3 linked regions of the Rhinolophus ferrumequinum genome follow. The protein of the gene in region 2 interacts with the protein of the main gene of each other region in a pairwise test. Links are inferred from orthologs where the notes say so. Each region holds a gene or a part of one and is shown on either strand. Other genes may lie near its edges.

Region 1 (6,831 bases), on a different chromosome or scaffold from region 2:
AGTTCCCTGTTACAGATAATGAAACAGAAAAGCACAGGAAAGTGAATGGCTCAGGGTTGCAAATAGAATTAATGGCAAAGTCAAGATTAAGATTTCTAGTTCAAGTGACACATCCACTCAATACAATTCTAAGAAATCATCTCAACACAGTTTTCCATGTAATGTGACTATTTAATGCCAGTAACTTTTACCATGAGATCTCAAGAAAAGGAGAAATAGGAGAAAAAGGGTGGTACTAAACACAAAAAAGTTGTGTAAGTAGTTGGTTCATTTTTGCCTGAAAATAAGGTTGAATCAAAGGCAAACTGATATAACTCCTTCCTTGATCTTTCTATGGACAAGACTATGATTATTCTCCTAAATTGTGCCTTTCACAGTACCTTTATTTAGGAATCCTTACCTCAGGCCATTCTAGATTTCTAAATACAAATCTGCACATGATTTGACTGACTCCACCCAAGTGGCATTCATTCATTCATTTAACACACAGTTACCAAGCCTCAACCAAGGGCTGGGCCCACTTCTCTTTCATCAGAAACACAGTAGTGAAAAGGCAAATTTCCCTGCCTCATGCAGCTTGTGTTCTATTGGGGAAGACAGAGAACATACAAATAAATAAAAATGTAATATATAAGTACAACAGCAAAAGATTTTTAAATGAAGTAAAATAAGGGGACAGAGCCACAGGAAGAAGGGTATGCCTCTCCAAAGAGGTAACATTTAAGCAGAGACATGAAGTAAGGAAGTGAGGCATCAGAATGTCTGAAAAAAGGGAATAGCAAAGACTCTAAGGGAGGTAGGGGGTAACAAATCCAGCATGTTGGAGACAGCAAAACTCACTTTACTGTATGTGGAGAGTTGATCCTTTAGGCTCTGACAATGCAACATGGCTCCAAAGGCTACTTGCTGGACTAATTGTTGAAATTTTATATTTCTTGAAACAAAATCTGTCTCACAGTTTACCTGTGGGAACAAATTGAAGTTGCTATATAAGCTGTTTACTGATAGTTTCCAAAAGTGCCTTAAGTTGGAGAGTAAACCAAGGTATTGATAGAACAAGCTGTAGACTCAACAAAGCAGAAATAAATGACCCCAGAATTTTAAAGCTGCAGTTCCTCTCCTAGTTTGAGGCCAGAAACTAAATGAAGTGATTCCTGCTCGGTCCCTGAGTTAGCAATGACGTGCACATTCAGAAGATGGTTCCGTAAGGTCCCCAAAAGACTCACTACAACTTCACCACGTGCCTGTGGCTGCATGCCATAATACCTCATTCACCCCCAACTACAAACTACTTTTGCTCAGTTTATTTATCTCCTTCTCTTTAAACTCTAATCCACCCCAATCTCACTCTAATCCACATCTGATTCTTCAACAATTGGGGCCCCCAAATCTCTAAAACAGCTACTCTCTATCCATCAACTAATTAATTAATATAATTCTTAGCTTTAAAATCTAACTGTTCCAGGAAAGAATCAGTGACAAGGTGTAAGGCTACACTAGGCTCACATTTAGGAGTAATATTCTAGACTGCTAGGCCTTTTCTCATCAACATACCTGTGTATTTCTGAACTTAAATGAATCCACAACTAATAACTGTGATCTCACAGGTTTAATTCAAATACCCTTTGTGGCTCTCAAACGTCTCTTCTTTAAGAATGCAAAGAGTCTACCACAAATCCTTACCCCGAAGTTCCTGGTGTCTGAACTTCTGACAACTCACCTCTACTAACACAGTCGTGTTTCCTTCCTGCAGCAGCCCAATCAGGCCTTCTTTAGTTTTCCTCCCATGAAGCTTGGCAGCTTTGCTCCAGCCCTCTTTCTGGGCCTGCTCATGAAGCCAGCTCTCTGCCTATAAATTGAAAAGAAAAAGGGCAGATGACAAAGTCAGAGAATTTAGAACTGAATGGGGCTCTAAAATATGTTCAAATCCCCTGACTCTTTCTGCTTCCCCTCAATCCCATAATAGAAACTGAAGTAATCTATCATTTACTGGCAGCCTACCATGAAAGGCCAAATACCAAGCATTGTGTCTGTTGCTTTGGATAAGTTTAATCTTCACAACAACCTTATGGAGCAGATAGTGGTATTTTCATTTATATATACAAGAACAATGCAACACTGCAAGATTAAGTAAGGTGGGCCCACCAGACTCTCTAGAAGCAAGAAGTGGTCCACGGTCACAGGATGAGTCCTGGTCCGTCTGACTCCAAAGTTCAAACATGCCCTTTCAGCTCTAAGCAGCACGTAACAACATAGCAGTTTTGCATGGAATAGGGTTTGTTAGCCCTGAGATCCTGAGTCAACTGCTTCTAAATAATAGTCAAAGGCTGAGGTCATTTAAGTGAGAATCCTATCTAGAGGTCTGCCGTTGAGTCACCGGACAGCAGACCTGACTTCTGTGCTCCCCAGCGTGACATCCCTAAAAGACTGGGACTGGGCCCTAGTACCCCTCCCTGCCCCCCTCTCCCGCCTCCCCCACACCTGTTTGAGATTCCCGCCACAAGTCTCCAGAGCTTTCTTGCAGTTAACAAAGGAATAGCCCGTTTTTCGCCGCAGCTTCATGAGGAGCTCCTTGTTGGAGGCCGAGGAGGACAGCCAGGGCCCAGCATGAAATGTGTGCCGCGGCTGGGGCGACTGAAGCAGGGATCCTGCCTGGGGGGAGGGGGTAAGAATAAAGGGATGAAGCAGCCAGGTGCTCCAAGGGTGAAAGGCACGTCGGCAGGGAGGCGACCTTAGGACAGGGTGGGTCCCCGGGGTTGGGGGAAAGGCAGCGCGCGGGGGCTGGACCACGGAGAGGCAAAGAGGTAGGGGGAAAGGTGGGATGGAGTCGAAAGGGGGTCAGAGGTAGGAGTGCACGGGAGACCTTAAAGGAAGGCAGGTCGGTGCTAGGGCCAAAACCCCTCACCGAGCAGCTCCCGGTCCGTGCTACCTGGCAGAGACGCAGGGACCGAAGCAGCGACATTTCTCCGGCCGCCGGACACTACAGCCCGCGGGCCCACGGGTGAGGCCACGGGCCTACGGCGTGGCGGCGGGGCCAAACCTCTCCACTGCGACGCGCCCGATCGGGACAGTGCCACCTGCTGGTCGGAGGGAGCGCATTCGCGTCCCCTACTTGGTTTATTGAAACTACATTTCGGGAAGGAATTACCTCCCCACAGGTGAAACAGGAAACCATGAGAGAAAGCCGTCACAAAATAACAGTACAAGGCATGTGGTGACACTTTGTTTACTTCAAATGCGCTTTCATATTTATTATCGACTTATGACTCAAGACAAAATTGTGAGGTAGGTGGGTAGGTTCAGAAATTTGCCAGAGGCTGCCTAAGGAGGTCGTGGTGCAATCCCTCCAATAAACCCAATAAATATTTGTTGAATGAACAAAATATTTACTGAACACCTACGTTGTGCCAGGAACTGTGCTAGGCTTCAGGGAATTATAAGTAAGTAAACCACAGCCCTACCCTCCAAGGTAATCTAATGGTGAAAAAAATAGGGAGCAGACATATGACCACACAAGACAAGTTAAGTCCCATTAGATGAACAAACAGTTAAAGAGTGTCAAGGGAGAAATAAATTACATCCAAACAGGTGGCTCAGGAAAAGCTTTTTTCAGCATATAGGCTAAGCGTAATGAAGATTTTAACAGGTAGAAATAGCCCTTCTAGGGAGGGAATCATTAAAAAAAGGAGAAGCAGGAGGAAGAGGAGGAGGAGGAGAACGAGAAGAAGAAGGAGAAGGAGAACGAGAAGGAGAAGGAGAAGAAGAAGAAATAAGTGAGGGAATCTTGGTATGGATTTAGGGAACAAATAGTAGACCTTACGCAATTTGGTCCAAGGTTGCAATCATGTTGGAAACCAGTAGGACATGAAGCAGAGGGTAGACTGAGTACCCAGCAGAGGAGCTTACTCTTACTTCTGCAGGCAGCAGCAGAAGCTAAGCAGAGCTGACTTTGGAAGATCACAAGAGTTGAAGTCCAGGAGTCCAGAGGAGGTGATATGTGGCCCAAGGATTAAGTAAGGAGAACCCCAACCAGAGGTTCCACAGTGGGAAGAGAAAAGAGCTGAAGGTAAAACACATTAGGAAAGAAGGACTGACAGGACTTGGAAACTTAAAGAGAAGAAGAACCTAGTACTCAGTGGTCAGGACCCCAGCTCCGAAAAGGATGAAGTTACAGTCCAGAGGACAGCTCTGCTGCCTATCCCCAGCTTCAGGCCCGGGAGAACTTGACCCAGTTGGAGCCATGGGCCCACCAGACTCTAGAAGCAAGAAGTGGGTGGTCTGAGGCTTCTTCCTTCCAGCCCCCCAACAAAAGCCTGATTTCCTTGGATGCAGAAGAGATATTTAATGCTTATGTTTTTTTCCTTTTAAAAAAATTCCAGTAGAATCTGCATCCTCCCCCCCCCCACCCCCGCAAATCTATTCTGTATAAAAGGACAACAGCAGGAGAGGAAGTAATCAATGATAGTCTCTCTGTAGCCCCTGCTCTCACATCCCATTTACTTCCCCCCACCACCCTAAAAACCCTGGATACCTTCCCATCTTCCTCTGCTGAGAACAAGAGCTGGGAACTTCCTTTGCACTCTAACCCAGTGTTGCTAGGGCTCTAGGATTCCTAGCAAGCAGGCACCTCCTTGCACCTGCCCAAGAGAATCTGGGGGAACTAAGAGGGAAGGAGGAAACAGAAAGGCAAGGGAAATCCATCCTTTTTGGTCCTTATGTTTCTGGCTTTGGAGACATGGCAGTTCCTTCATTAGGACAAGGAGTTCAAAGGAGCAGAAGGTGACATCAAGCAGGTCTTGGTTCCCTGTGCCTGGCCCTATAGATGTTGACATTCTCATCCTCATCCCGCTGGGCCAGCTCCAGTTGAAAATGCTGGGGCAGGAGTTGCTGAAAGAAGCTCTCTGTCCCATGCTCCTCTCTCATCTTGGAGGCCAGATAGATGGTGCCATGGGTCCCGCACAGGTGTTGGAGGGTCCCCAGCAGCAGTGGGAAGGTGGGCTCCAGATACACGATATCAGCCCCCAGCACCAGGTCATAGTCTCCAGGGAAGACATGTTGGTTAATCCCCCAGGACAAGGCACGGACCTGGGCCCGGCCTCCAGCTGGCACATTGGCCTGGACGTTGAGCTGGATCTGTTCTAGGGCCAGGGGTAGGTCAGTGATGGTAACATCACCCCCTGAGAAAAAGGGAGGAGAAATCAAGTCAGAAGGACCAACCAAGGGGTTTTGGCTCCTGCCCAGAAGGTCCAGAGATCTCTGGACCTGGAGGAAAATGTCTTGACAACCCGAAGTCCATACTTTGGCTTTTAGTTGCCCTAACCTCCATCTTACCCACCGCCATTTTCACTACTCTACATTCTACAACATCAACATTCTCTCTAAGCTAATCTTCAACCTCTCTGCCCCAAACACAGCAATCATACAAGTATGTCAGCAGAAGCCTGGCAGCACTAAGCTAGAGATGGGCTATGTACCCACCCCCTACTGACACAGATCAGCCTTCGGGGGTCTGGAAAAGTTCCCAGAAGACATGACCTCAGTGAGCTTTAAAGGACAAGTAGGAGTTAGTCCGGGGGAGTTTTCCAAGCAGAGAGCAGAGAGTACAAAGGCCTGGAGGTGAGAGAGCACAGCATATTCAAGGAAGGCTAGATCTTAGAGAATGTAGAAGGGAGGAAAAAAGTGTCAAGACATGAGAGTAAAGAGAAAAATGGTTATGACATGCTAAGGAGATTCAGGCTTGATTCTGAGGGCAATAGGTTTTAAAGGCAGAAGTAGGAGGTCAAGATGATCAGATTAGCGTCTCAGAAAGTATATGTATTGAGCACCTACTAAGTTCTGGGGATACAGTGGTGAGCAAGACAAAACCTCAGCCTTCCTTGAGTTTTATTCTAGAGGTAGAGACACACTAAGTACTGCAAAACTCTTTAATCATCATCATGATGGCCATTATAGAAACGAGAAGTATTAAGAATTCATTCATTAATATTTATTACATGCCTATATGCCAGGTACTGAGAATAAACCAATCAGATGAGAATCCCTCTGCTCCTGGAGCTTATAGTCTACTGGCAAGAAATGGACAACAAACAAAATACATAAAATACACTGTATGTCAAATAGTAATAAATTACTCTGGTGAAGCTACAAGCAGGGAAGGAGGGTAAGAACTGCTTGGGGGACAAGCAGGGAAGGTAATTTTAAATTGGGTGGTTAGGGAAAGCCTTACCGAGCAGATATATTTGAGCAAAAAAATGGAAGGAAATAATGGAACAAACCAGATGGATCTCTCAGGCTAAAACGCACCCAACGAGGGACCAGCAAGTGCAAAGACATTGAGGTAGGGCAGTGTCTGGCAGGCTTAAGGAGCAGCAAGAAGGCCAGTGACTGGAGCAGAGTAAGTGAGGGGGATAAGAGTAGGAGCCAAATCCTAACGGGGGCCTTGTCAGGAGACTGTGGGAAATTTGGCTTTTAGTCTGAGTGAGATAGGAAGCTATTGGAGAATTTTAAATGGAAGAATGACATACATTAACTTATGCTTTTAAAAGATTACTCTGAGGACAGCCAGATGGCTCAGTTAGTTAGAGTGTGAGTTCTGAACAAGAGGGTTGCCGGTTTGATTCCCGCGTGGGCCAGAGAGCTGTGCATTCCAGAACTAGATTGAAGACAACGAGCTGCTGCTGAGCTTCCAGAGAGCTTCCAGAGGGGTGGCTGGATGGCTCAGTTGGTTAGAATGCGATCAGCATAGAAAGGGCATTGAAATCCATGAGGTGATGGGATTGCTTGGGAGAGAGTGTAGACAGAAAAAGGAAGGGCTCTCAGCACTGCTCCTGA
Region 2 (7,587 bases):
CTTCCACTCCGTATATCCAAAAGCTAAAATACTATTCCTCCCCAAATATGGACCTCTTCCAGAATTCCATCTCATTGTTTATTCCATTACTATTGTTTATTCAATCACCCAAATGAAAATCCAAGTCATTTTACCCTACTATTTCTCACTCCCCAAATCCAATTGTTACTGAATCCTATGACTTCTACCTTCTAAATATTTGTGTTATTAACCTAATCCTCTGTATCTCCACTGACACTACCTTTGTTTAGGCCCTTATCTGTCACCTCAAGTATTACAAAAACTCCTAAGCAGTCTTTCTGCATCCTGCCTTATTGTTCCTCTATCTCTTCTGAAATCTATACAATAGCAGAATGACCTTTCTAAAATAAACCTTATTATGACTCTTTCCTGATTAAAATTCATATATTCTATTATTATCTACAGGAAAAAACGTCTACCATCCTTAGAATAGCATGCAACATTTGAAGGATCTATCTGCGCAGCCTCATCTTCTGCTACTTACCATAATCCCAGTATTTATAATTAACTCAACGCTATAGCTGTGGAGAGCTTCCCATTCTTAAAAGTGTACCATGCTCTCTCTAATTATGTCCCACTTTCCCTCTGCCTTAAGTTGCTTTCTCCCCATTTTCTTCCTCAGTCATGCCTAAGCCTTCCTTAAGTTAAAGGACATAGACTATAAAGCACCTGATATAATACTTAACACATCAGGGAGTGGAAATGGATGGGGCTGGCTTAGGCCTCTCTTGTTTATCCAGTCTCAATGACTCCTATGTGCTTACAAGGTAAAGCTGAAATTACTTCTACTGTATACAAGACTATCCATAATTTGGTCTCTGCCTACCTCCCCAGTTTCATGTCTTGCCACCACCCTACATTCTTGCTGGTTACACCTGCGGATCCTACAACTCATTGTGTAAGTTTAGACTCCTGTGCTTTTGCTGGCACTGTTCCTTCTACCTAAATGGCCACCTTTCTATGCATGTATACCTGTTGTTTTCATCCCCTCCTCTACACGCTGTCTCCTTACTACTGCCCCTTCCTCAGTCTCTCCTTCTCTTCCTTAAGAAACTGACCACTTCCTCATTTCTACACCCACTGTATCCGCATACTTTCTCCAATCAAAGCAATCTTAAAAACATATTGTACTTGTTGACATTTCAAGTAAGAGATAAAGTCTTACCACCCTGAAGGCAGGCTACTGCCTTATCCATTTGTAAGTCCTCATCTCCTGGCACAGTACCTGCTACAAGTAATTCCTCTACACTAAATGACCTGCATTTTTCTTTATTGTCTCCTTGTAAACTAACATAAGTTTCTCTTGGAATTTTTCTTTCAGAAAAGAAAGAACATACTTTTGGGTTACGTTCGGGACCCAACCTCTCCTGGTCAAGCATACAACTGTGCAAATAGAAATTAAAGTTAATATGTGTTTTTTTTATACCACTTCTGTTTTTCTAAATGAGGGGAGAAATGGTCCCTCCCAGATCTAAAATGAGAAATACTATTCTGAAGAGATAGCATTTAAGTTATGTCACATTGCTTGAAGGTACTTTGTTTAAAGAATTCTCAACTGTTACTGTTAAACTAACCTACCCTACATAAATTTATGGGTCACTTATGAAAAGTGGGAACCACTCTACTTCCTTCCTACATCTACTACTGCCAATACAGCTTATGGCAATTACTCATCTTCAGCAAGATACTCAGAAAGTAATAATCAAATCACCAAAATAACTCCAAAGGCAGAAAGTGAGGTTACCTTTCTCATTCACAGTCCCATTTAAAAGTGCTGCCTCCGTGACCACCAAACCAAAAGTGGGCCTGTTGCTTATCACCACTTAAATATTTTGTGAATAGCTGCCAAGTATGACGGAATGCTACTCAAAGTGCTCCAGCATTTGAACATGACCACTCCACTAAACAAAAAATTCAGTGATAACTTTTCTAATGAGGCTAGATGGTGTGTTAACTCAACGTCCAAACGACTGTACTTCTTTGACACGCACATTCAAACTATCTCGAGTTAACATTTTAATTATTATCTAGAACTCTTTTAGGCCCTACGGGAATCCTGATGCTTGCTCAAGAGGGAGGCTCTGTAGTAATGAATCCCCAAACTTGAAACAGCATGATCACTTTAGATAAGACTGAGATGTGAAATATTTTGCAAAACCTGTTTCACTCACACAACGATTTAAAAAAAAAAAAAAAAAGCTGACCTCAATAACAGCATTTTGGTACAAGCATACTTGAAAGTGCGCTGTGAAAGGAATTCTGAACCCCAGACTGTCCGTCCATTCCCACTGAAACCTGAACTAAGGACCGCAGCACCCAAAGGAGCCCCACTGCTTCCATGCCAGCGGTGGGAAACATCAAAAGCGTGTTCCTAGTCCACTGGGCAAGCACTAGAGACGGGTCAATATTCCGGATGCGATTAGAAAATAGCGGTTATATAAAAGACAGTCCTCTCCTCCGTTCCGGTGTGCCCCAGAACTGCCCTGAGGCCTGGAACCCCAAGGAGGGAGGGGTTCTGTTCCTGACTCCCCTCCTCCCGACCCCAGGAGCACCAAATCACAAATGCGGCTGCCATGAGGGAGGCCCGGCTGGCAAGTGGGAGGAACGCACAGCGAAGGGGGCGAGAACTGAAGAGAAGCCTGCGGGCTATGAACCCGCAGTGGGGCAGCCACGCCCCCCACCCCCAACTCCAGCCCGGCGTGCGGCTAGCGCCCAGCCCAGCACGCTGCCAGATACAGACGCGGCTGCGGAGAGGGCTCTCCGGACACGCGACTGGCAAGGCTGCGACCCCGCACGCCACCGCTGACCGCTACCAACCTGAGCCCGCCGCCGCGCGACCGGCCGCCCCCGCCACAGCCACCTCCTCCTCGCGTTCACGCTGCCACCGCAGCCACCGTAGCCGCCTCCTGCGCTGCGCCCCAGACCGGCCTTGGGAGCCCCATTCCCAACCCGCCCCAGCCTCCGCCTGTTTACAATGATTGGGACAGAACAAGACGAGCCGGCCCAGCGCGCAAGCGCATTCCCTCCTCCCGCCGCAGCCGGCTTCCCGGGTCCTCTTCTGTGCGTTGACGGCTAAGGCCGACGAGGGTAAACGCCCTGTGCCGTCGCGCGGGGCACACTGGGAGGCGTAGTTCTCGAAAACCCAAGCGCCCAACCTACAGGAGGGCACTTCGTCGAGGAAGTATACTACAACACCCAGGAAGAACCGCGCCTCCTTCGGCCCAGTAGCTCGCTGAGGAGACTGAGGGAGCGCGAGAGAACGCGCCGCGCTAGCGCTCTGTGGGAGCCTGCGCAGTTCCTGGTCTTGGGGGACTGGGTGGGACATACACCTACCCCAAGCAAATACTGTCCGCGTAGGTGGTTTGGGGGCGCTACCTGTGGTGATCTTGAAAAAGGAAATACCTTTCGTCTCCATGCTGTGGCAAGCCTGTTCCTCAGCTACTGAAGTTCAGACCTTTTGTGCCAGCGGGCTTCTGTTGTCCTAACCAGTTAAACCAGCCTAGGAGGCCGGCCCAGCCTGCGGCTGGGTGGGACATCTTCCCGGCCTTGGGCTGGGTGGGGCATCTTTTGCTTGGGGTGGGGACTCCTGCACTGGAGGGAGAGGGAGGTTGTTAAAGCAAGCGCTGTGGGTCTTTAAGGAGAGATTTACATAAAACTGTCGGGACCTTCTTCAGAATTCCCAAAGTGGGTGCTGAAAAAGGAATAGTCCTTGGTTCTTGTGTAACAGCAGGACTGCTGTCTTCCATCGCCCTTTTTGGTTCAACATTTACAAAGGAACATCTGAATTAGAACCGCCCAGAGCATGGTTAGCTTGCAACTAGAACTGAGCCATGAGGAAGACTGGAAACAACTGGGTTTCTGGAGGAAATCCTGCACAAAGGGGTCGTGCGGGGCGGCCTGTGGGGTCTCTGGTCCCGCTCCCCACATAAGAATGCAGGACATGGTGAGGCCAAAAAGGAACACCCACGGAGCCATCGGTAGGGGAGTCATACTACTATATTCTCATTGGCGGCATCCGCCTCTCTGCAATCCACTCTTGCTAGCTCAGCCACCATCTTCTTGCTAGCCCCCATTTTTTACTAGTGTAGCCACGGCAGTTATATTAGTGCCCAATGGCTCACTGGTTACAGCTGACAGCCAACTAGCCACAGCTGATGGCCATTTGATCACAGTCGATGGCCATTTACTACCTGAGCCAGCACCTTTCCATGTGAGGCCGAGAGCCTGGAAACTGCTTTTTGGGGCTCTATCCCCACACTCCACCCCTACGGGGTCTCGCCTCACAATCTACGCGACAAGCGTCTTTCGTGAGGGGCCCTGTGCGAGGAGCCTGGAGGTGAATGCTATTTCCTGGACACAGCCAGGCTCTCTGGGCACAGCCAGGGTTTCTCAGGGTACCACCAGTACTTCTGGGCACAGCCAGACTTCCTGGACTTCTTAGGGTACCACTAGTCTCCCTGGGCACAGCCAGGGCTCTCAGGGCACTGCCACTCTCTCTGGACACAGCCAGACTTCGACTCAGCCAGGGCTCTCAGGGCACTGCCACTCTCTCTGGGCACAGCCAGACCTCCTGGACTCAGCCAGGGCTCTCAGGGCATTGCCACTCTCTCTGGGCCTCTTGGTACCATGGTGGAACAACAGCGACTCACAGTCAAGGTGCTTACATATTCTTGATGGCGGCCGGTCAAGACACAAAAGCAAATATCCGCCAGTACCACTACATGGTGGTATGTTCCCAAACAGTCAAGTGGTCCATTAAATTAGGGATGGAAGGCAATTCCCCACAGTCCACAGTCATTCGCCAGGGCTGTCCTGGGGGTGAGGGATGACCTTGACCTCACCCACATCTCCCACGGAGGACTCAGCAAGCCTTTCCTCCTGGGACAAGTCCCGTGTCTGGGCTGCCTCAGCAAGAACTTCCCAGACCACAGGGCTGCAAGGACCTTTGCTTTCTCCGGCCTCTGCTGGTTGGGGAACCGTCCACGTCTTTCCACCCCTCCACGGGGGTCGAGCTCTCCCCGGCAGCAGCTCCTACTGGTCTTCCTAAGACTGAGTGTTCATATGCACAAACTGCTCCACCGCCCTTCGGAGAGCTTTGGCCGGCACCGTACCCTGCTCACTGCGCCATTTGTCGTGCAGGGGATCCTGCCGACTACGCCATGTGTCATGCGGGGCGGCCTGCGGGGTCTCTGGTCTCGCTCCCCACATAAGAATGCAGGACATGGTGAGAAAAAGGAACACCCACAGAGCCATAGGTAGGGGAGTCATACCACTATATTCTCACTGGCGGCATCCACCTCTCTGCAATCCGCTCTTGCTAGCCCAGCCACCATCTTGCTAGCCCCCATTTTTTGCTAGCCTAGCCACGGCAGTTATATTAGTGCCCAATGGCTCACTGGTTACAGCTGACGGCCAACTAGCCACAGCTGATGGCCATTTGATCACAGTCGATGGCCATTTACTACCTGAGCCAGCACCTTTCTATGTGAGGCCGAGAGCCTGGAAACTGCTTTTTGGGGCTCTGTCCCCACAAAAGGCTTGAAGAATTGTTCTATTAATGCATGGCTGGAAATCAGAGGTCTTTTGAAGTGTTCTTGTTTTATAAAATTTAGCAACTTATTAGGGGAAATACGATTGGGATCGTTGGTCCTTCCCAAACCCTTCCATTCCTACATGCAATGCTCTTTAGAACTTCATTGCGTATTTAGATTGACCTCTGTAAGCCATCCTGCACTATACCTCCCAGATCAGCTTCTCACAAAACTGACAGTAGATCTCTCTCTCCGTTGCACTCTGCATTTCCTACCTCATAAAGTTCAGCCACTGAGCTTGACATTCAAGAGCCTCCCACAATTGGATACCAAGATGGTCTGTGGTAACCACTGTTTTCTGATTGCTTGAAGTTTTTTTTATTGCCCTTTTGGCAACAAAACAATGTCCTCTGACTACTCAGACGGGCATGTCATCATGATAGTTACTCTGCCTCGGGCAACACTGATCGGGCCAAAAGATAGACACTGACTCAAGTTGGTGCATTTCTGAGCCCTTGCTTGAAATTGCTAGACGGATAGGGATGAGAGGGGAAGAAGCTTTTTACCGAAGTAACTGCAGCTGGCCATGTTCTTCACAACACTAAGAAGCCTGTCTGAAGTAGGAAGGGATGAGGCCCAGAGGTGGGGGATGGAAAGGGAGAGACACAAAGAGCTGGCAGCATGAAGACTATAGTTTCAGTTTCAGAGGCCATGATTTTTGTATGACTCTTCTTTAAGTGCTTTGAGTGTGTGAGCCTAGCTAGGTGAGCCAATGCATTTATTTATTATTATTTAGGGCTAATTTGTATAGTTATAGAATATATTTGTTGGTTGCCTCCTGAGCATTTGTTCCTCCCGTTTAAGTCATGTAACATAACCATTCCCTCTAGTGGCTGAGAGTTACAAAGATGATCACACAACCCAATCAGAACCAATGAGCCCCCCAGAGACTTGAGCTGGGACTTCTAGTAAACTGCAGCACACTTCCTCTTCTGGTATGGTGTAAGTATATGAAGTCTGAAAATGTAGCAACTATTTTGTTTCTTCAAGAGGAAAGCCTAAAGGGATAGGGTTCAGGGGAGAGGCACCTGTAGAGACTAAAGATGAAGTCAATACTGTCAAATGAGTGCTGGAAAGGAGAGGAACCTTGTGTTTGGTGGCATCATTAGAGCTGCACTATCAAATCTCACCTGTTTGACCTATAGACTAACCTATACACTACGTAGAATTGTGAGCCATAAATGTCCTGCACTGTTTAATCCAGTTTGTATTGGGTGTTTTCTGTGACTCAAAATTCTAAAAGTTCTAACTAATTCAGTTGGATTTCTTTTATATGATATTTAAATGTCATGACTAATACAAGTTCCTACTTAAAAAGAAACTGGAAGAGACTTTCAGTTATGGCTATGTGATATGGTCAACAATTCCTCTGCACACAAAACAGGTATAATACTGGACAAAATTGTCTAAAACAACCATTTCAGGGCACTAGACTATTAATAATAGACAACAATTTGAGAAACATCTGTTCTTGAAAAACTTCTAGAAATTCTAGGAGGAACAATAGATGTCTATGACCTTCTGCCTGAGACTGCTTTTTTACTGCCCTGTCGTCCAGAACTGTAGTTTTATCAGTGGGTAGCGCTAGCCAAGAAAACAAGCAGCTTTGCTGCCAGAGAAGACCGACTAGATTTGTGGTGGGAGGTAAAAAAAAAACCCATGGCTTTGCCAGCTGGAGGGAGTATAAAATGGTGCATCTGCTGTGAAAGACAGTACTGTTTTTCCTCAAAATATTAAATACAGAATTACTATTTGATCCAACAATTCCACTTCTGAGTATGTACCCAAAGTAATTGAAATCAGGGACCCAAAGAGATATTTGCATATTCACATTTGTAGTAGCATTATTTGCAATAATCAACAGGTAGAGGCAACCCTGGTGTCCACTGATGGGTACATAAAATGTGGTATACACATAGAGTGGAATATTATTTAGCCTTTAAAAGGAAAGAAGTTCTAACTCATGTAAAACAAA
Region 3 (7,837 bases), on a different chromosome or scaffold from region 2:
GACTGTCCCAGAGGAGTCTTCCAGCGTCCTCATGCTTCCTTGGCTTGCACACACCCGTCTGGACAATGGCCAGCGGCACGTGGCCCCAGGGCACCTGGGAGGAAAAAGAAAGAAGAGCAATCAGTGGGAGCACATGGAAAAGGGGGGAACTTTCCATTACAGCATAATGGTAAAGAGGACGGTTTAGAATGCCACACAAGCCTGAGTTCAACTGCCAGTGCTGCCCCCTACTGATCAAGGCAAGTTACATAACCTCTGAGCCTCAGTTTCTTCATCAGAAAAGCAAAAAGAATGCTTGCCTCCTGGAGTTGAAATTAAAAGCAGCAGTGGCTGTTGAGATCTTGGTGCACTATCCTTGACAAATGATCCTGGTTGCCATTATAATCATATTCATGGAGACTTACTAGGCCTAGAGAAAGACACCAGTACCTAGAAAGTAATCAATAAGGAACCGCAGCCTCCTGCAGTCAGTCACCTATCAAAAGCCTGATGAGAGACTCCAGGGCAGGCCTAGTTCAAATCTAACCACTGAACTGTCCCATCCAGGGGTGGACAGGGGCCCAGTTTATTGGCAGGTGATAAAGAATGAGTTCAGCCCAGTAGAAGCCCTAGGCAAACGGCCCCCAGTACCCTCTAGAATGAAGCATGTCTGAGCCCCAGCATTGGCACAGCTCACTCACCACCCTTTGCCCTGCCAAGCCTTCCCTGTCATGGGATGACCTTGGCAGTTACTCTGCAAGGTGAATGGGAAGTAGGAGAAAATGCACCTGAATTGGTGAATAAGGGACAAAAGAAGAGAGGCTACACTAGGACAATGGTTTTGTGAGATGAGGCAAAAAGTTGCCACCCATTAAGGTTTGTGGGTCAGTCAGATAGTCTGTGTTGACAGTATCTGCACTGGCACTCCAGGAAAAAGAAAGGAAGAAAGGATGGATGGTGTCTTTGAGTTTACAATTTACCCCCACCTCCACCCCCACTGCTTGGGAAAGACCCCTATCATCCTCTAGCCCCGTAGCAGAGGGGCACTCAGCACCTTCTCGACATCAGTAACAGCCACTTGAGCCGAATGGAGGAGTAAGGGAGCAAGGGGGAGGCTCTTGGTTGCAGGGACCTGGGGGATGTGAGTGCCGGCAGATAACATCTCCTGAGGATGGTGTTCCCTTCCGACCTTGGGCTCCCAGTGGCTCATGCCTGGAAGGCTGCCTGCCTCACCAGGCTTCCTTTCCACAGCCTCCTCCAACACAAACCTCCAAACAGATGCAGGGAAAGCCAAAGAAAACCCACACCTCCACAGGTCCCGCGTATATGGGGGGAGGGGTGTGGGAGGAATGTGGCCCCTCCTCTATCACAAAACTAGCCTCAGTGCGCTGCTGCAGTTTGGGTCTGGCACACTGACAAGAGTAGCCGTTCCCAATCCACTCCCTCCTCCTCCCAGGTGCTCAGAGCTGAGGAGTGGGAGACGAATCTGGAGGGCTTCTTTGTCCTCAGCCTTCCTGGCACTCTATCATGCTGTCCCCTCCCCCTACACACGAGACGAGTGGAGATGCATGACTCCAGAGCGACCAGAGGCAACACAAACAGGAATCAATTTGCCCTAGAGTTTCATCCGCGGGGCATTTTCTAAATTCATCACTGTGGGGCTGACTCCCGCCGAGGAGGAGCGGGGCCACTGCAGAGCTTTCCGGAAACATTCCTGGCCACCTTTCCCAAACAGGCTGCCTGGGAACAGGGAACACCTCCTCGAGGCCTCTCACCCCGTGTGTGTGGGGGTTAAGACCCTCCGATGCACGTCCTCTCGACCGAGCGGCTACTAAAAATCTGCATTCCCCCACCCCACCCCCATCCCTGCGGTGCACCTCGGCTGGGCTAGCGCGCCGGGCTCTCTGAACCCCCATCTTCCTAAGCAAGCACTCATCTCTGGCTTTTCCTTGGGCTCACTCGCCTAAACACCGGAGTGAGGGTCTGTCTCTAAGTCTGATCACGCCGCAGCCAGAGATCCCGTGCTACACGGACTCCCCGCGGACCTCGAGCACTCGGGGGCTGCTGGTGCGCCTAGAGCGAGCGGACCACGGTAGCCGGTGACCCAAGGAGGTCTTTAAGTGTCGCGGGTCCGCCTCCTTCTCTCCCTCGCCAGCCCTCTTTGTTTTCCGAATGCTCCTGCGCTGACGTCACCGGGCTGGACGGCAGGCTGCATTCTTTCTAAGTGAGAGCCAGTTCGTGGCTCCAGAGAGTATTTTCCAAGGAAGACAAAGAGGAATTCTTGGGCTAGTTGGGAGCAAAGACACCTGTAACCCCCACCTAACCAGATCAGCACCCCCAGGTCCTACGACTTGAGTTCGAAGCGGCACCTCCTGCACTATTCCGCGCCCCTCTCCCCGACCCGTGACCAAAACATGAACCGAGCTTTCTCTAGAGATTGCCCCCCAGGCGACCCGTGGTCCTTCAAGGACCCCCAACCCCAGGCACGCGGCACGGCGCACCCCGGGCGGAGTGGCCCTTGCCCGCCTTTGCAGCTGCCTGGAAAGGGTGCACTGCGCCCTGAGGACGCTGGGTCCACCCGGCTCCGGCTCCGGCTCCGGGAAAAGACCGGGCTGCGCCGGAGTTCGGGCTTCTGCGCGTCTCTGCCAGCCCCACACATTCCCCGAGCGCCGAGGAGCCTTCCTTACCGCTGCGGCCCGCGGGTGCTCGGCTCGGTCAGACCCGACGACCCCGCCAGGCTCCGCTCGGCTCAGCAGCGGAGGTGTGTACTCGGCGGTGTCGCCAACGCTCTGGCCGCTCGGGGTCCAGCGCGCAGCCCCAGGGTCGGCCCCCGCCGGAGGCGGCTGCTATGCCAGGAATGTGAGTTTCAGGTTCCCCCTCGGGATCAAAGCGAACCACAAATAACCTCTCAGCGCGCCGCCCTCCTCGGTCCTACGCCTCCTCCCGTTCCCTCCTCCTGGCCCCCGCCTTCCTCCGGGGAGGCGGCGCTGCGGGCTAGGAGCCGGGCGGACACCGGAGCTCCGTTCCTTCGCTGCCAGGGCCCTCCAGGACGCGCTGTGCCCCTCCCCGCCCCGCTCCCCGCCCCGCTCCCCGCCTACCCCACTCCCGCCACGATTTGCCTTCAGAGCTGCTGGGGACAAATTAATCCAACTCAGCATTATCGTCCCAGCCCCCTCCGCGCCTTCCTCTCACCCCTTCATCCTTTGGGCAGAACGACACCGAGGGATGTACATCTATTGTCCCTGAGGGATTCTGGGCGTTGCTGCAGGAGAGGGCTGGGAGTGAGGGTGGGGGCTGTGTGTGTGTGTGTGTGTGTGTGTGTGTACAGGGGGAGGGAGGACTGCAAAATTGTCCCTATCTGCTTAGTTTGGACCGTGCCCCCGCCGAAGAGATGACTGTGCTTCCTGCAGGGAGCCTCTTCTCTAAAACCCACGGCTTTCACCGGCAGCGGCAACCTTTGAATTGCACTTTTATTGTTTACAAACACCTTCACCAGCTTTTTAAGGACCTGCCTCCACAGGAAGTGTGAATCTGGGTTGGAAAATGTTCTGGTTAATTTGACCCACCTAACTGACTGAATCATCCTCCGCCAGGCGCACTGTCCAACTCTAACAGAAAGCAGTGATCAGCACCCCTTTACGCAGATCGCACCGGGTGCCACCACCCGCTTTTCACCTAGTCATCTCTCATTCAGCCCTCCCAGTCATCCTCCCAGGGAGTTCTGTTACCATCCCTGTGTTATAAATGAGGACATCAGGCTCAGAGAAGTTAATTAGCTTGCCCAGGGTCACACAGAGAGTAAGTGATGAAGCCAGGTAATCACTGGGCTGCAGTTTCTCATTCTCAAAACCTTTTCACCGCCGCCAGAATCCAGGCTCCTTCCTGGGACAGGGAAGGCCCTGGGAGCCCACCTCTCTCCATCTGCCCTCTCTCCGTTTCAGTCTCTTCATTTCCTCCTACACTCGGGCCAGCCAGGGGCCCTCCCTTATGTCCACTTCTGTTGCTCCTGCTGTTTCTCCTCTGGATGCGATTTTCTCCTCTGCCTCTAGGACCTTTCCTCCCCCACCTTCCCACTAGGCTGGTCCATCTGTGCTGATGGAAACCCATTCTTCAGAAAGCGTGTTCTGACACAGCCTCCCCATCTGCTGTCCTCTTCCTCCCACAGCTCTGTGTGCCATTCCTGAGCCCTAATCACACTGGGCCTCCAACACCTCCCAGTGGGTGTGTGGCGGGGGTGAGGTGGGGTGGGGGTGGAGTCAGGCTGCTGTCCAAGTTGAGAGTCAGGGCCTACTTCCACCCTTAAGAAGGTCATCTCCTCCCCTCACCATGGCGTTTGCAATTCCCAAACCCACTGGAGGGGACCAGGGACAAGAAAACTTTGTAAGTTCAAAGAGCTATTTACTATCCAGGGACACTGTTAATTTTTAATAAGGCCCTCCCCCAAAATTTGTGTATATGTGTGTAATTTACTTGGAAGCCAAACATTGCATTTCAAATAGTGACCAGCTCTGAGACAAATGAGAAAATCAGTCATTTGTGTTGAGCCAAGGGATATTTGGCCATCCAAGGACCATGTTACAAAGGGAAACTATGATCAATATGCCGCTGTGTCAGCTAGACACACTAGGTAGGAATTTGAGAAATGAAAAGGAAGAGAGAAGAGGGCCCCAGATGGCCTTGCCCTGTGGACAGCATTCTCCTTGGAATCACTTAGTGGAGGTGTGAGAGTGGGTGTGGCCATGTGCACTCTGGGGTTGCAAAATCAGGGGAAAGGTCACATGGTACAGTTCTGTCTTTGGGGCATTTAGGGGACACCTGACAAAACGTTTGACAAACATTCTTGAGATGGTTGCAGAAAGGGGCAGGCCCAAGGCGGCTAGAGTCAAGGAGATGCATCTTGCAGTAGGCAAGTCTGCTGCAGACATAAATAGGCCCTCGTGACTACTCACCTCTGTGTCCCAGAGCAACAGAAGCGGGAGAGGGATCCTGAAACCTGAATGGGAAATTCATACACACTTTTCTTCTCTTTTTTCCTCTTCTCTGCAAGGAGGATGGAGGGCAGGGCCTCCTTGGCAGGACAGGGTCCGAGGCCTCAGTGGAGCCTGCCTCAACTAGCAGCCATAGCCAGCTTTGCAGGGTAGTTGGGTGAGAGGGTCACCACAGCTCAGGTGAGCTGAAGGCAGGTGTGCACAGGTAGGCACTGGTCTGGGCAGCCGGCTAGCACATACACCGTCTTCACTTAAAGTAGGGGAAGAAGGTTTGCCTAGTGAGCTAATGTTTTCTTCCTTCCAGCTTTGTCTCTCGCCATCCACATTGCTCTTTCCCCCTGCAGGTAATGATTCTTCCCAGATGACAGTGTGGCTGGCTGGGTCTAGAATCCTGCTCAGGAAAGATGCAGAGGTGACCCAATCCTCAGAGTAAGCCAGGCTTGATGCCTTTGCTCTGGAAAGTACAGCTCCCAGGGGTGTGGCTGCATCATAGGTGTGTACAGGGCTTAGCAAGGGATCCAGGCACCCACACCCCTTCCCTCCTTAGCCTGGACCTGGGATCAGGCCTGGCCCTGCCGCTGTGTCTCACTGTACCCAACAGGAATATGAAGGTGAGTTCTGAGCTGGACTCTCGCAGCTCCTTCCTATAGAGCTGGAAAGGGAATGGTCTTCTTATTTCCCAAATGGTTGCTTGTTGAAGGAGGGGTTCCAGGGTCACGATGGCAATATTGAAGAAAGACTGCAAGTTGCCAAATCCTCCCAGTTTTCCCTGGACACTTCCTTTGATAGGTTATGGGGAATAGGAAGCCCCCCAGAATCTGGAGCAGGTAGCAAATTCACAGGAAGTCCTAGACATTGGGATGGAAGTTCCAATGCTAGGAACTGGTATCTTTGAGGTAGTAAAGAAGGGAAGATTGGTTTGCAATATTAATGTGACCCCAGACACCTGCCTTTTCTGCACAGCTTCCTTGTGAAGTGAGTACTGATTTGGTGAATGTGCCAATGTGCTTGGAAAGACCCTCTGCTCTTAGCAAGAGGCTGCAGAGAATGTGCAAGCCCTTGGTTTGCACGGCTTATTGTAGAGAAGAGCCCAGGGCAGGTTTTGGTGGCTGCTGGATTCAGGGCCAGTGTGATGAAAGAGTGCCCCCTAGTGAGTCTCATCCCCACAGCTGGGTCAGCTCCTCCCAGGGCTCCCAAGGTGGGTCTTGGGCTCCTGAGCCTGGTAGAAGGGGCATGTTTGGGACATGGTTTCATCCAGGAAACACATGTCTCCCAGGCCCCCCAGAATGAACTAATGGCTCCAGTTGTGTTTCTGACTTTCCTCCCATTTCAGCCTCTCCTGGGTGGTCTTATTTTATTATATTTTAAAATTTTTTTTTTTAGTTTAAATGCATTTTATTTTTAGACAACCTGCCTGAATGTTTTTCTTAAAAACAATGCCTCAGCTGCAAATAAATCAAGGTCAAAATAAACGATGAGCTCAAGATAACACCAGTCCTGTTTGTACCAGCTTTGGTGTGTGGATGTAAAGCAGCCTCCAGTTACGATGACAAGTGATGGATCCAAACCACCAACTCTGTTAGCATTATTTTTTTAACTCTCTAAACCATCCTCAAAGAAAATCACATATGAGGTCCCACTATCCTCACAGTAGTCCAGCAGAGCAACCACGTCATCTGGATTCGTGTTTTCCCCAATAAAGAACTGGTAGTTTTTGGAATTAGCAAGAAAGTGCTTGATTTATTCTGCATCCCCTGTCACAAAAGGTTTTACTCTTTTTTGGTCTGTGTATTTCAAGTTTCCCTGTGATTGATTTCATGTAGTCTTTGATGTACTTCTTGTAGGCTTCTTTTGTGAAGCTGGTTTCCTGCAAATGACAATTATCAACACCAGAGACCACTGTGCTTTCCTGTTCTTTCGCCCTCGGGGTCTTCAGTGGAGGCATTTCCACCAATGAGCGAGTCATCAATGTTCCCCTCATCAATGTTACCCTACTAACCATCTTTCCCTCCAGCTGCAGGCACTGCTGGACCATGGTCTCCTGGATTTTGTAGTTGTGGGAGAACATCTCATCATGACTGATGAGATCCAGGTGGCTGATCATGATGGCCGCTGGAAGGAGACTGTGTCCTGGGGCGCTGGCTTAGCAGGAGCTCGGAGCTAGTGTGATGCAGGGGGAACAGCGCTGGGGGTGGGGAGCAGGTGGGAAAGGCACATGGTCTTTAAAGAGATATCATCTTTAACACAAACAACATTAAATCATTGACATTGAGAGAATACCTTGCATTTACTCACCTATTCACCTTTCCATGCATCTTTTCTGTGTTGTATTTCATGGATTTGTTCAACAAATATTTCCTGAGCACCCACTCTGAGACAGGCCCTATGAATCAAAGGGGGTTTCTATCCTTGTGGAGCTCACAGGTCACTGGGTGCAGGGGAGAAAGAGGCTAGTACATTACACAGCAGAGAGTTCCATCTTGGAATTTGAAAATCTGGGCACAGGGGTGGAGTCATGGCAGGCTTCCTGGATGAAGTACTTCTTTTTTTTATTGGAGAATATTGGGGAACAGTGTGTTTCTCCAGGGCCCATCAGCTCCAAGTCATTGTCCTTCAATCTAGTTGTGGAGGGCACAGCTCAGCTCCAAGTCCAGTCGATGTTTTCAATCTTAGTTGCAGGGGGCACAGCCCACCATCCCATGTGGGAATTGAACCCGCAACCTTGTTGTTAAGAGCTCGTGCTCTAACCACCTGAGCCATCCAGCCACCCCTGAGGAGGTACTTCTCAAGCTGAGCACTAAGGCCAAGATGGACTGTGAGGTGTCTTCCCCAGGCTGGTATCTGGAGAACCAGCACTAGAAGCACAGACT

The links. The genes of interacting proteins can lie anywhere in the genome.
Region 1: the proteins of RALBP1 (region 2) and TSFM interact in binary tests that used the Homo sapiens proteins (3 or more experiments, as listed by UniProt). The two-hybrid records come from large-scale screens. The link is inferred for Rhinolophus ferrumequinum from reciprocal best matches to the Homo sapiens genes RALBP1 and TSFM.
Region 3: the proteins of RALBP1 (region 2) and AMOTL2 interact in binary tests that used the Homo sapiens proteins (3 or more experiments, as listed by UniProt). The two-hybrid records come from large-scale screens. The link is inferred for Rhinolophus ferrumequinum from reciprocal best matches to the Homo sapiens genes RALBP1 and AMOTL2.

What each region holds. Positions count from the first base shown.
Region 1 is NC_046293.1:56,677,950-56,684,780, reverse strand, and holds the start of TSFM (elongation factor Ts, mitochondrial), read right to left. Parts: upstream 3,006-6,831; 5' UTR 2,963-3,005; coding exon 2,864-2,962; intron 2,653-2,863; coding exon 2,482-2,652; intron 1,850-2,481; coding exon 1,721-1,849; intron 964-1,720; coding exon 841-963; intron 1-840. Other genes in the region: EEF1AKMT3 (EEF1A lysine methyltransferase 3), read right to left, coding at 4,786-5,177. UniProt on the Homo sapiens protein: Associates with the EF-Tu.GDP complex and induces the exchange of GDP to GTP. It remains bound to the aminoacyl-tRNA.EF-Tu.GTP complex up to the GTP hydrolysis stage on the ribosome.
Region 2 is NC_046302.1:8,544,060-8,551,646, forward strand, and holds the start of RALBP1 (ralA-binding protein 1), read right to left. Parts: upstream 3,015-7,587; 5' UTR 2,839-3,014; intron 1-2,838. UniProt on the Homo sapiens protein: Multifunctional protein that functions as a downstream effector of RALA and RALB. As a GTPase-activating protein/GAP can inactivate CDC42 and RAC1 by stimulating their GTPase activity.
Region 3 is NC_046300.1:34,510,745-34,518,581, forward strand, and holds the start of AMOTL2 (angiomotin-like protein 2), read right to left. Parts: upstream 3,006-7,837; 5' UTR 2,667-3,005; intron 95-2,666; 5' UTR 34-94; coding exon 1-33. UniProt on the Homo sapiens protein: Regulates the translocation of phosphorylated SRC to peripheral cell-matrix adhesion sites. Required for proper architecture of actin filaments.